Oryctolagus cuniculus: one gene and its partner. The protein of the gene in region 1 interacts with the protein of each later gene in a biochemical or structural test. Links are inferred from orthologs where the notes say so. Each region holds a gene or a part of one and is shown in the gene's direction. Other genes may lie near its edges.

Region 1 (4,487 bases):
GTTGGTCCCCACTTGCATTGCTATCAAAAGCTGTACTCACTGTGTTTACATTTGGGAATCCCGTGTTTTTTTAGTCAACATTTGTCTCCAAAATCGCATTTCTTTTTTTTTCTTTTTTCTTTTTTTGACAGGCAGAGTGGACAGTGAGAGAGAGAGACAAAGAGAAAGGTCTCCCTTTGCCGTTGGTTCACCCTCCAATGGCCGCCGCGGCCTGCGCGCTGCGGCCAGCGCACCGCGCTGATCCGATGGCAGGAGCCAGGTGCTTCTCCTGGTCTCCCATGGGGTGCAGGGCCCAAGCACTTGGGCCATCCTCCACTGCACTCCCTGGCCACAGCAGAGAGCTGGCCTGGAAGAGGGGCAACCGGGACAGAATCCGGCACCCCGACCGGGACTAGAACCCGGTGTGCCGGCGCTGCAAGGTGGAGGATTTGCCTAGTGAGCCGCGGTGCCGGCTCAAAATCGTATTTATTAATAAGACAGAAAAATATCAGAGCTTGTAGTCCTCCTATGTAGTTATTACTTGAATTCCAGTCAAAAGCAGGGACAGGACATCTAGGTATTCTGTGTTGCCCTAACACGGGTAAATGAAAACCTTCCCTTGAATTTCTGCAGGGAAAAACTCCCAGACCCCCACGTTCCCCCAGGGCCGCCTTTGAGGACACTCGGGTCTGGGGAGGCCACGTCAGGCTGTCTTGCAAGGAGCACAGGAGCCACTCCACGCAGTTTGCAAGGATTAGAGCTTGTCCTAGTTTTGCTTGATTGTTGTACTTCTTGCATGCTAAAGAGCTAAAAAATGGGAGGAAGAAAATACAACAGAAGGCACCATTCCAGTACCAAACTGAAAAGAAACATAAAAACAAGAGAGCAGCATGTTTTTAACAGCTTGCGTGGAAAAAATATTGACTGGGGAGTTTGGACAGCACTGTTCATTTTCTCTCGCCGCCCGCGTTATTTGTCTTACAGAGTAGGAGCCAGATACAACTCTGGCGAGCAGGCTCAAGAAGAGGTGGAGGGGTTCTGTGGAAGCTTGATCCTGAGTGCAGAGATGAAGCCTGGAGACCCAGTGGCTCAGGGCCAGGATGAAGGCAGGGGAGGCGCTAAAACCTTCTTCCTCCTGGCCTCGGACACCCTTTTTGGCCGGCCTGAGTCCTAATAGAGCACAACACTGATCGCTCACGGAGGTACCTGCCTCCTTCAGACCACAACGAGCAGGATGAATCCCTGCCCCTGTTTCTTTCGGCTGAGGAAAGGACACTGGGCTTCCGTTCGCTTTCACAGCCCACCTTTCTTCTGGAGTTCGGACCTCCGCCTCCTGCAATGGGGGTCGGGCGGGAGCCTCCATCGGCGGGGCAGAGGCTCGGTGCTCCCACCTCCGCGGAGCCCGCGCCGAGGCCTCAGCCCCGCCCGCCCGGGCGCGGGGCGGGGCTCGGGGCGTGGCGCGGGGCGTGGCGCGGGCGCGGGGCGGGGCGCGGGGCGGGGGCTGGCGGCGGCGACCATCCGGAGGAGAAAGAACATGGCGGGCGCGGCGGGGCCCGGTACCGGCCCGGGGGCTGCGGGCGGAGATGGAGACGATTCGCTATATCCGATCGCGGTTTTAATCGACGAACTCCGCAACGAGGACGTGCAGGTACCGGACTGGGGCGGGGAGAGCCGTGGCGGGTTGGTCCGGCGTCGCTCAGGGTAGGGAAGGGGGAAGCCCGGAGCCGCTGTGAGGGAGGCCGGGAGGTTGAAAGAGCCGGACGCGGAGCAGAAACTCGAAGGGGAAGCTGGAAAGACTCGCGAGGGGCTGTGGCGCCGAGCCCCGGCCCACCGCGGGGCCTCTCCAGCACCCCTCCGTCGGGCTTCCGACCGTCCCGGGCTGTTGTCGGAAAGCCGGCTTCCCGCCTGGGCGCCCCGTTGCGGGCCCAGCGTGCGAGCCCTCGGGAGGGGCGCAGGGCCGGGCCGCGTGGGAGCTGGGCGGCCTGCGGGTCGCAGGATGCCAGAGGGCCCTTTGAGGTGCAGCCCAGCCTCTTCCCCTGGGCCTGGAAACTGGCTGGGCCTGTTGGGTAGAAAGCGGGTGGCCTGGCTGAGGAACCTAAGTGAGGCGGTGTGTCTGCTTCGGTGTAGGTTGTATTCAGCCGTCTCACCTGCTTCGTCGCTGCCGGAGTTCTGGCTTTTTAACATTGTCCCGCTTGCTGAGTATTTTCTTTCATTCCTTTCTCTTCGGGCCCTTGTAGAGAGTTTGGCCTAGGAATCCTCCCTCTGGCTAATAAGGCTGTGTTACATTACTGTTCCTTACCAATGAAGTGTAAATGAAAGATTATCCTTATTCCTAGACCTGTTAGTTAGTTCACCTGTTTGCTCCTGTTGCCTTTTGGTCTACATTGCAATCATTTTTTATTTTGTTCTTTCCATTTTCTCCTGTAAAGCTCCGACTCAACAGTATTAAGAAGTTATCAACAATTGCTCTAGCACTTGGAGTAGAAAGGACAAGAACTGAACTGCTGCCATTCCTTACAGGTGTGTGAGTCTGTGTTTCAAGAAAGGCACGGACATTTCCATTTACCAATGGCTTTCAGAGCTTTGGCTGTTTTTCAGAGTTTGTTGTCCACAGTATCAAAAAGCACCAAATTGAGGCTGGTATTTTCTGTGCAAAAGAAATTCAACAACACATATGGTAATGTTGTGGCCAGATACGTACAAACATTAACTGTGTATAGCTAATGGGGAAGTCACTGATATGAAGGTATGAATTTCTAGTTCATTCTGTAAATCAGATCCAGGAAAACTGTTCATTGAGGAGAAAATACTGTTAGGATTGGGACTGGATGTTTTTACTATTTACATATTGAATCTATTGCTAGTTTTATGTGAGTGTCCAGCTCTTGGCCAGTTACCTTGTTGGTGAGTACCTGGTTGTTGTCCTTTTCAGATACAATTTATGATGAAGATGAGGTACTGTTAGCTCTTGCTGAGCAGTTGGGAAATTTCACTGGCCTGGTGGGAGGTCCAGACTTTGCCCACTGTCTGCTGGTGAGTATTTCTATGCTGCCTACCCTCCTTCTAGAACCTTTGCAGTATAAATGATACATTGTTTGGTGATAGGCATAACAGCAGTATATTTTAGGCAGCTCATTTTATGGATAGATGCTCATAGTGTTAGCCATTGAGAGAATATATAATGTAAGCACTTTGGATTCAACCCTGTCTTATTATTTTCTATGAATAGAAGTTCTTTATTTTTCTGCCTCCATAGACTTACTAATTTAAAGAGAAAAAAGATTTGGTTATTTTTATGGGTCCCCTCCCCCCCAGTAAAATTGGAAGTCTTGTTTTTCATCCAGCAATATTTTGTCTTTATAGTGTAACTTTTGCTTCTGACTTACACTGTGATTTTGGTCAGTTGACATTTATTGAGGGCCTGCTATATGAGGCATATTGTAAGTTACAATGTTAATGTCAAAGAAAGCCAAACAAATGTAATGAGATCTTTGTTTTTGGTCACAAATATTAGGGTACAATCTTCAATGGGGAAACATAAGCACATTTAAGATACCCAAATAAGAGAGGAGAAAAGAATTAAGGTGATTAGGGGAGACTTCTTAACAGTTGATGTCTGAACTGTTTTAAGAAATGATTGGGTTACAAAGGGAGTAGGGCAGCGTGTGCAGTGGTTTAAACCACCAGCTGTGATATCAGCTAGGATCCCATATGAGCAAGTGCTGTTTCAAGTCCCATCCAGCTCCTTGCTAGTGTGCCTGGCAAAGCAGTGAATGATGGCCCAAGCACTTGAACCCCTGCTGCTCACATCGAAGACCCTGAGGGAGATCCAGGCTCCTGGCTTCTGCCTGACCCAGCCCCAGCCATTGGGAGAGAGTGAACCAGCAGGTGTAAGATCTAGATCTCCACCTCGATCTCTGTCTACCTTTTGAATAAATAAAATAAGTCTTAAAAAGACTAGGATTTCAACAGTTGGACAAGACAGATATGATATATGATACATGTTTCAGGACTTTACTGTCTGATGCTTACTCTTTCTGTCTACTTCTGAACTTTATGGAACCCCACAAGTTGACAGATATGGATTTAGATATATACTGTACCTAGTTATCACTGAAAGTGTGTATCTTTCTGTAATGTTCCTATTTAGATGTCAAACAGGTATTTGAATTTTTTAAGATATATTTATTTGAAAGGCAGAGTTACATAGAAGAGAGAAAGACTTAGAGAGACAGAGATCTTCTACCTGCTGGTTCACTCCCCAAATGATTGCAATGGCTGGAGCTGGGCTGATGCGAAGCCAGGAGCCAGGAGCTTCTTCCAGGTCTCCCACATGGGTGCAGGGGCCCAAAGACTTGGACCATCTTCCACTGCTTTCCCAGGCTCATTAATAGGGAGCTTGATCAGAATTGCAGCAGCATTCCATATGGGATGCTGGCACTGCAGCTGTTGACTTTATGTAGTATGCCACAGCACCAGCCCTAAAACAGAACTTAGTTTTTTCCTCA
Region 2 (3,813 bases), on another chromosome or scaffold:
ATGTTTTTATTCTTTTTAATCTTTTGCCTTTCTCTGGATTTTTGCTAATTCATCCACATTAAAAAAAAATGTCAAACTAACCTGTTGACCGTGAGTTCTGAATACATGAATATTACAGTTTCTTAATAAATTGTTGGTTTTAGCAGCTTGTTGATAAAATAGTTGTTTAGGTCTTATGTAAATCTGCATTCCCACAAGAGAGACTTTGGTAACATTGTTTTCTCTGTTACAACTTTATGCTGGAGTCAGAAAGACAAAGGAACATGTGGACTTGTGGAACACTTGAGCTGAGCTATTAGTGTTGAAAATACAGGGAAATAGCACAGAGCAACAAGTTTGGAAGGAAGAGATCTCATTGAGAGTCTAATAATCCCTTGCCCTGAAAAGTGTATATATGAGGCTGGCGCTGTGGTGTACCGGGTAAGGCCACCGCCTATAGTGCCAGCATCCCATATGGGCATTGGTTTGGGTCCCAGCTGTTCCACTTCTGATCCGGCTCTCTGCTGTGGCCTGGGAAAGCAGTGGAAGATGCCCTAAGCCCTAGGGCCCCTGCATCCACATGGGAGACCTGCAGGAAGCTCCTAGCTCCTGGCTTCAAATCGGCGCAGCTCCGGCCATTGTGGCCAACTGGGGAGTGAACCAGCAGATGGAAGACCCCCCCCCCCTTCCCTCCTTCCCTCCCTCCATCCCTCTGTCCCTGCCTCTGCCTCTGCCTCTCCTCTCTCTCTATGTAACTCTGACTTTCAAATAAATAAACCATAAAAACAGTATATATTTACATAGTCTTGTGTACAATTTTATGTACTTTGATTATTTTCATTTACCTCGTCCTAAGGACCAAAAGCTTCAGGTTAAAACAAAACAAAACAGAAAACCTCTGTAGAACATAAGGATTTCGAAATTTTTGTCATTTATTAAATTACTAATTTGTTTCTAATCTGCCTTGTCTTCAAGGTACTGCACTGAAATGATGTACTGTCATCGTACTTCTGTATCCTATGTTTATACTCTTGAAAAAAGTCTTTATCCTCCTGAGCCTCAAAATTTATCAAAATATTTTGTTTTTGGTTTAATGTGTTTTAATGTCCAATTTTTCAGGAATTTAAAAAAGAGTTCTTCCAGCATTACACTATTAGGAACCTCAAACTAAAATTGTCTTATTTGAAAGTTTGGTCACAATTTGAAATATTGTGATTTATTTATCTAATCCTTAATAGAAGTGATGAATTTAAACAAGACACAAAACAGCTAGGGGATGCATCACTTAACTGCTGGAATATTACACACATCATTACATAGGGTTTAGGAAAAAATAATAGATTACAAGTTGCAAGAGTTAGGAATCTTACTGGGTTTAGAGCTTCATATTTCAGAAAGGTATCCATTGAAATAACTCGTGTTCTTCTGTAAGAGAGAGATAGCCAGACATAAGGGGTCACTGGTATCTTGAGTTGCTTTGAACTACTTTATAAGATGACTAAAATTGTTAGACCTTCTTACTTGTGAAAGATTGGAATGTAATGATTTTATGTAAGATGCAATTTTAGTATCACACAGTATTAACTAAATGCATATGTGTCTAGGGTAATATAAACAATTGAATAAGCATATGTATGTAGATAAAGAAGCGAGATATGGCTGTAATTTGATTTGAGTATTACAAAGAGTACCATTAATGTTTAAATTTGTGATATCTGCACTGTATTTTTATGTGTATTTTTTTTTAAGACTTATTTATTTACTTGAAACTCAGAGTTACACAGAGAGAGAAGGAGAGACAGAGAGAGAGGTCTTCATCCGCTGGTTCACTCCTCAATTGGCTGCAATGGCCGGAGTTGCGCCGATCTGAAGCCAGGAGCCAGGAGCTTCTTCTGGGCCTCCCATGTGGGTGTAGGGACCCAAGGACTTGGGCCATCTTCCACTGCTTTCCTAGGCCATAGCATAGAGCTGGATTGGAAGTGGAGCATCTGGGACACGAACTGGCGCCCATATGGGATGCTGGCACTGCAGGCGGCAGCTTTACCTGCTATGCCACAGTGCTGGCCCCGTATTTACTTTTATTCACCCAGTAATAGGAAACTTCTAATTAAGCCAGTTAAGGAATTTTATAAGAAAATCCTTTTTGGAAAAATAATGAAAATCACGCGTTTAAAATGCCTTAAAATGTTTTTGTTCTATCATTGTTACTACTTTTTAAGAACTTTCTTTATTCTTCTCCAGATAAAACAATAAAATTATGGAAAATTAGTGAAAGGGACAAAAGACCAGAAGGGTATAACTTGAAAGAGGAAGATGGAAGATATAGAGATCCTACTACGGTTACTACACTACGAGTAAGTATATAAAAAATGGTTATAATTTTCATGAATAGTGATCTGTATTCTTATCATATAGGCTTAGATTCTGAGCAGAACCTGAATAGAAATAGAGTTAACCTACACCAACAATTCTGTAACCAGGTAGGACTTTGAATAATTCCCATTTAAATACAAAAATTGACATACATAGAGGCCCCACTGTAGCCAGGGCAGGACTAGAACTCAAAACAGAAGGCTGCTTTACACTACACACTCCCGCTCTCATAGTTGGAATGTCAGCTATTACAAGATTAAGCTTCAAGATTAATTCTATTTGGAGACCAAAAACTAGGGATGGGCCAAATTATACAATTGTAGCTAAAACTGTCCAGAATTAAATGCTATGGAATTATTTCCTATTTAGCCTTAAATTGCTGTGAACTGTAAGTACTTGTTAGCATTGTACTTCCTCAAGCAAATGATTTTGAACCAAGAAGAACTGCAAATTCTAATAGTATTGCTGCCAGTAAAAGAAGGTGAATTGTGGGACATCAGGTTAAGCTCCTTTTTGGGATGCCCATACCCCATATTGGTGTGCATGAATCAAATCTCACCTCCACTTCCTACCCAACCGCCTGCTAATTTGCACCCAGGTAGGCAGGTGATATAATTCTTGACTCCTGACTTCAACCTGGCCCAGCTCTTGCTGTTGCAGGCATTTGGAAAGTGAACCAGCAGAAACAAGATATCTATTATTTTCTCTCTGTTCTTTCAAATAAATTTAAAAAGTAAATAAACTTTAAGATAAATTGTCCAGGAGCCAGGCCGTGGTGCAGCAGCTTAAGCTGCCACCTGCAGTGCTGGCATCCCATATTGTTGCTGGTTCAAGTCCCCACTGCTCCACTTCTGGTCCAGCTTTCTGCTAATGCACCTGGGAAAAGCAGCAGAAGATGACCCAAGTATTTGGGCCCCTGCCACCCCCATGAGAGACCTAGAAGAAGCTCCTGTCACCTGTCTTCTGGCTGGCCCAGCCCTGGTTGTTGGCAGCCATTTGGGGGGAGCGAATCAGCAGATGGAAGATCACTCTCTCTCTAACTCTGCCTTTAAAAAAAAATTAAAGATATGTTCATTTTCTGCTGATTTGAACAATTTAAGGAGTCATCATCAGTTCATTTTTAAAGCTAATCTATGTAATATTGTACCATTCTTTGTCCTCTCAAAAATTACAGTAATGAAGTGTTCTGAGCCTTATGTGCTATTTGAAGCAGTGAACCTTTTGTAATTTATTTTTCATGTGTCTTATTGACAGGTGCCAGTCTTTAGGCCCATGGATCTAATGGTCGAGGCCAGTCCACGAAGAATATTTGCCAATGCTCATACATATCACATCAACTCAATTTCTATTAATAGTGATTATGAAACTTATTTATCTGCAGATGATTTGCGGATTAATCTTTGGCATCTGGAAATTACAGACAGGAGTTTTAGTATCCATTTGTTTTCTTGTTTGACGGCA

Evidence for each region.
Region 2: the proteins of PPP2R1B (region 1) and PPP2R2A form a complex in vitro, tested with the Homo sapiens proteins (2 studies listed by BioGRID). The link is inferred for Oryctolagus cuniculus from reciprocal best matches to the Homo sapiens genes PPP2R1B and PPP2R2A.

What each region holds. Positions count from the first base shown.
Region 1 is NC_091432.1:103,721,867-103,726,353, reverse strand, and holds the start of PPP2R1B (serine/threonine-protein phosphatase 2A 65 kDa regulatory subunit A beta isoform), read left to right. Parts: upstream 1-1,469; 5' UTR 1,470-1,513; coding exon 1,514-1,627; intron 1,628-2,408; coding exon 2,409-2,499; intron 2,500-2,911; coding exon 2,912-3,012; intron 3,013-4,487. Other genes in the region: alpha-1,2-mannosyltransferase ALG9, read left to right, coding at 964-1,153. UniProt on the Homo sapiens protein: The PR65 subunit of protein phosphatase 2A serves as a scaffolding molecule to coordinate the assembly of the catalytic subunit and a variable regulatory B subunit.
Region 2 is NC_091433.1:47,879,812-47,883,624, reverse strand, and holds part of PPP2R2A (serine/threonine-protein phosphatase 2A 55 kDa regulatory subunit B alpha isoform), read left to right. Parts: intron 1-2,220; coding exon 2,221-2,333; intron 2,334-3,606; coding exon 3,607-3,784; intron 3,785-3,813. UniProt on the Homo sapiens protein: Substrate-recognition subunit of protein phosphatase 2A (PP2A) that plays a key role in cell cycle by controlling mitosis entry and exit. Involved in chromosome clustering during late mitosis by mediating dephosphorylation of MKI67.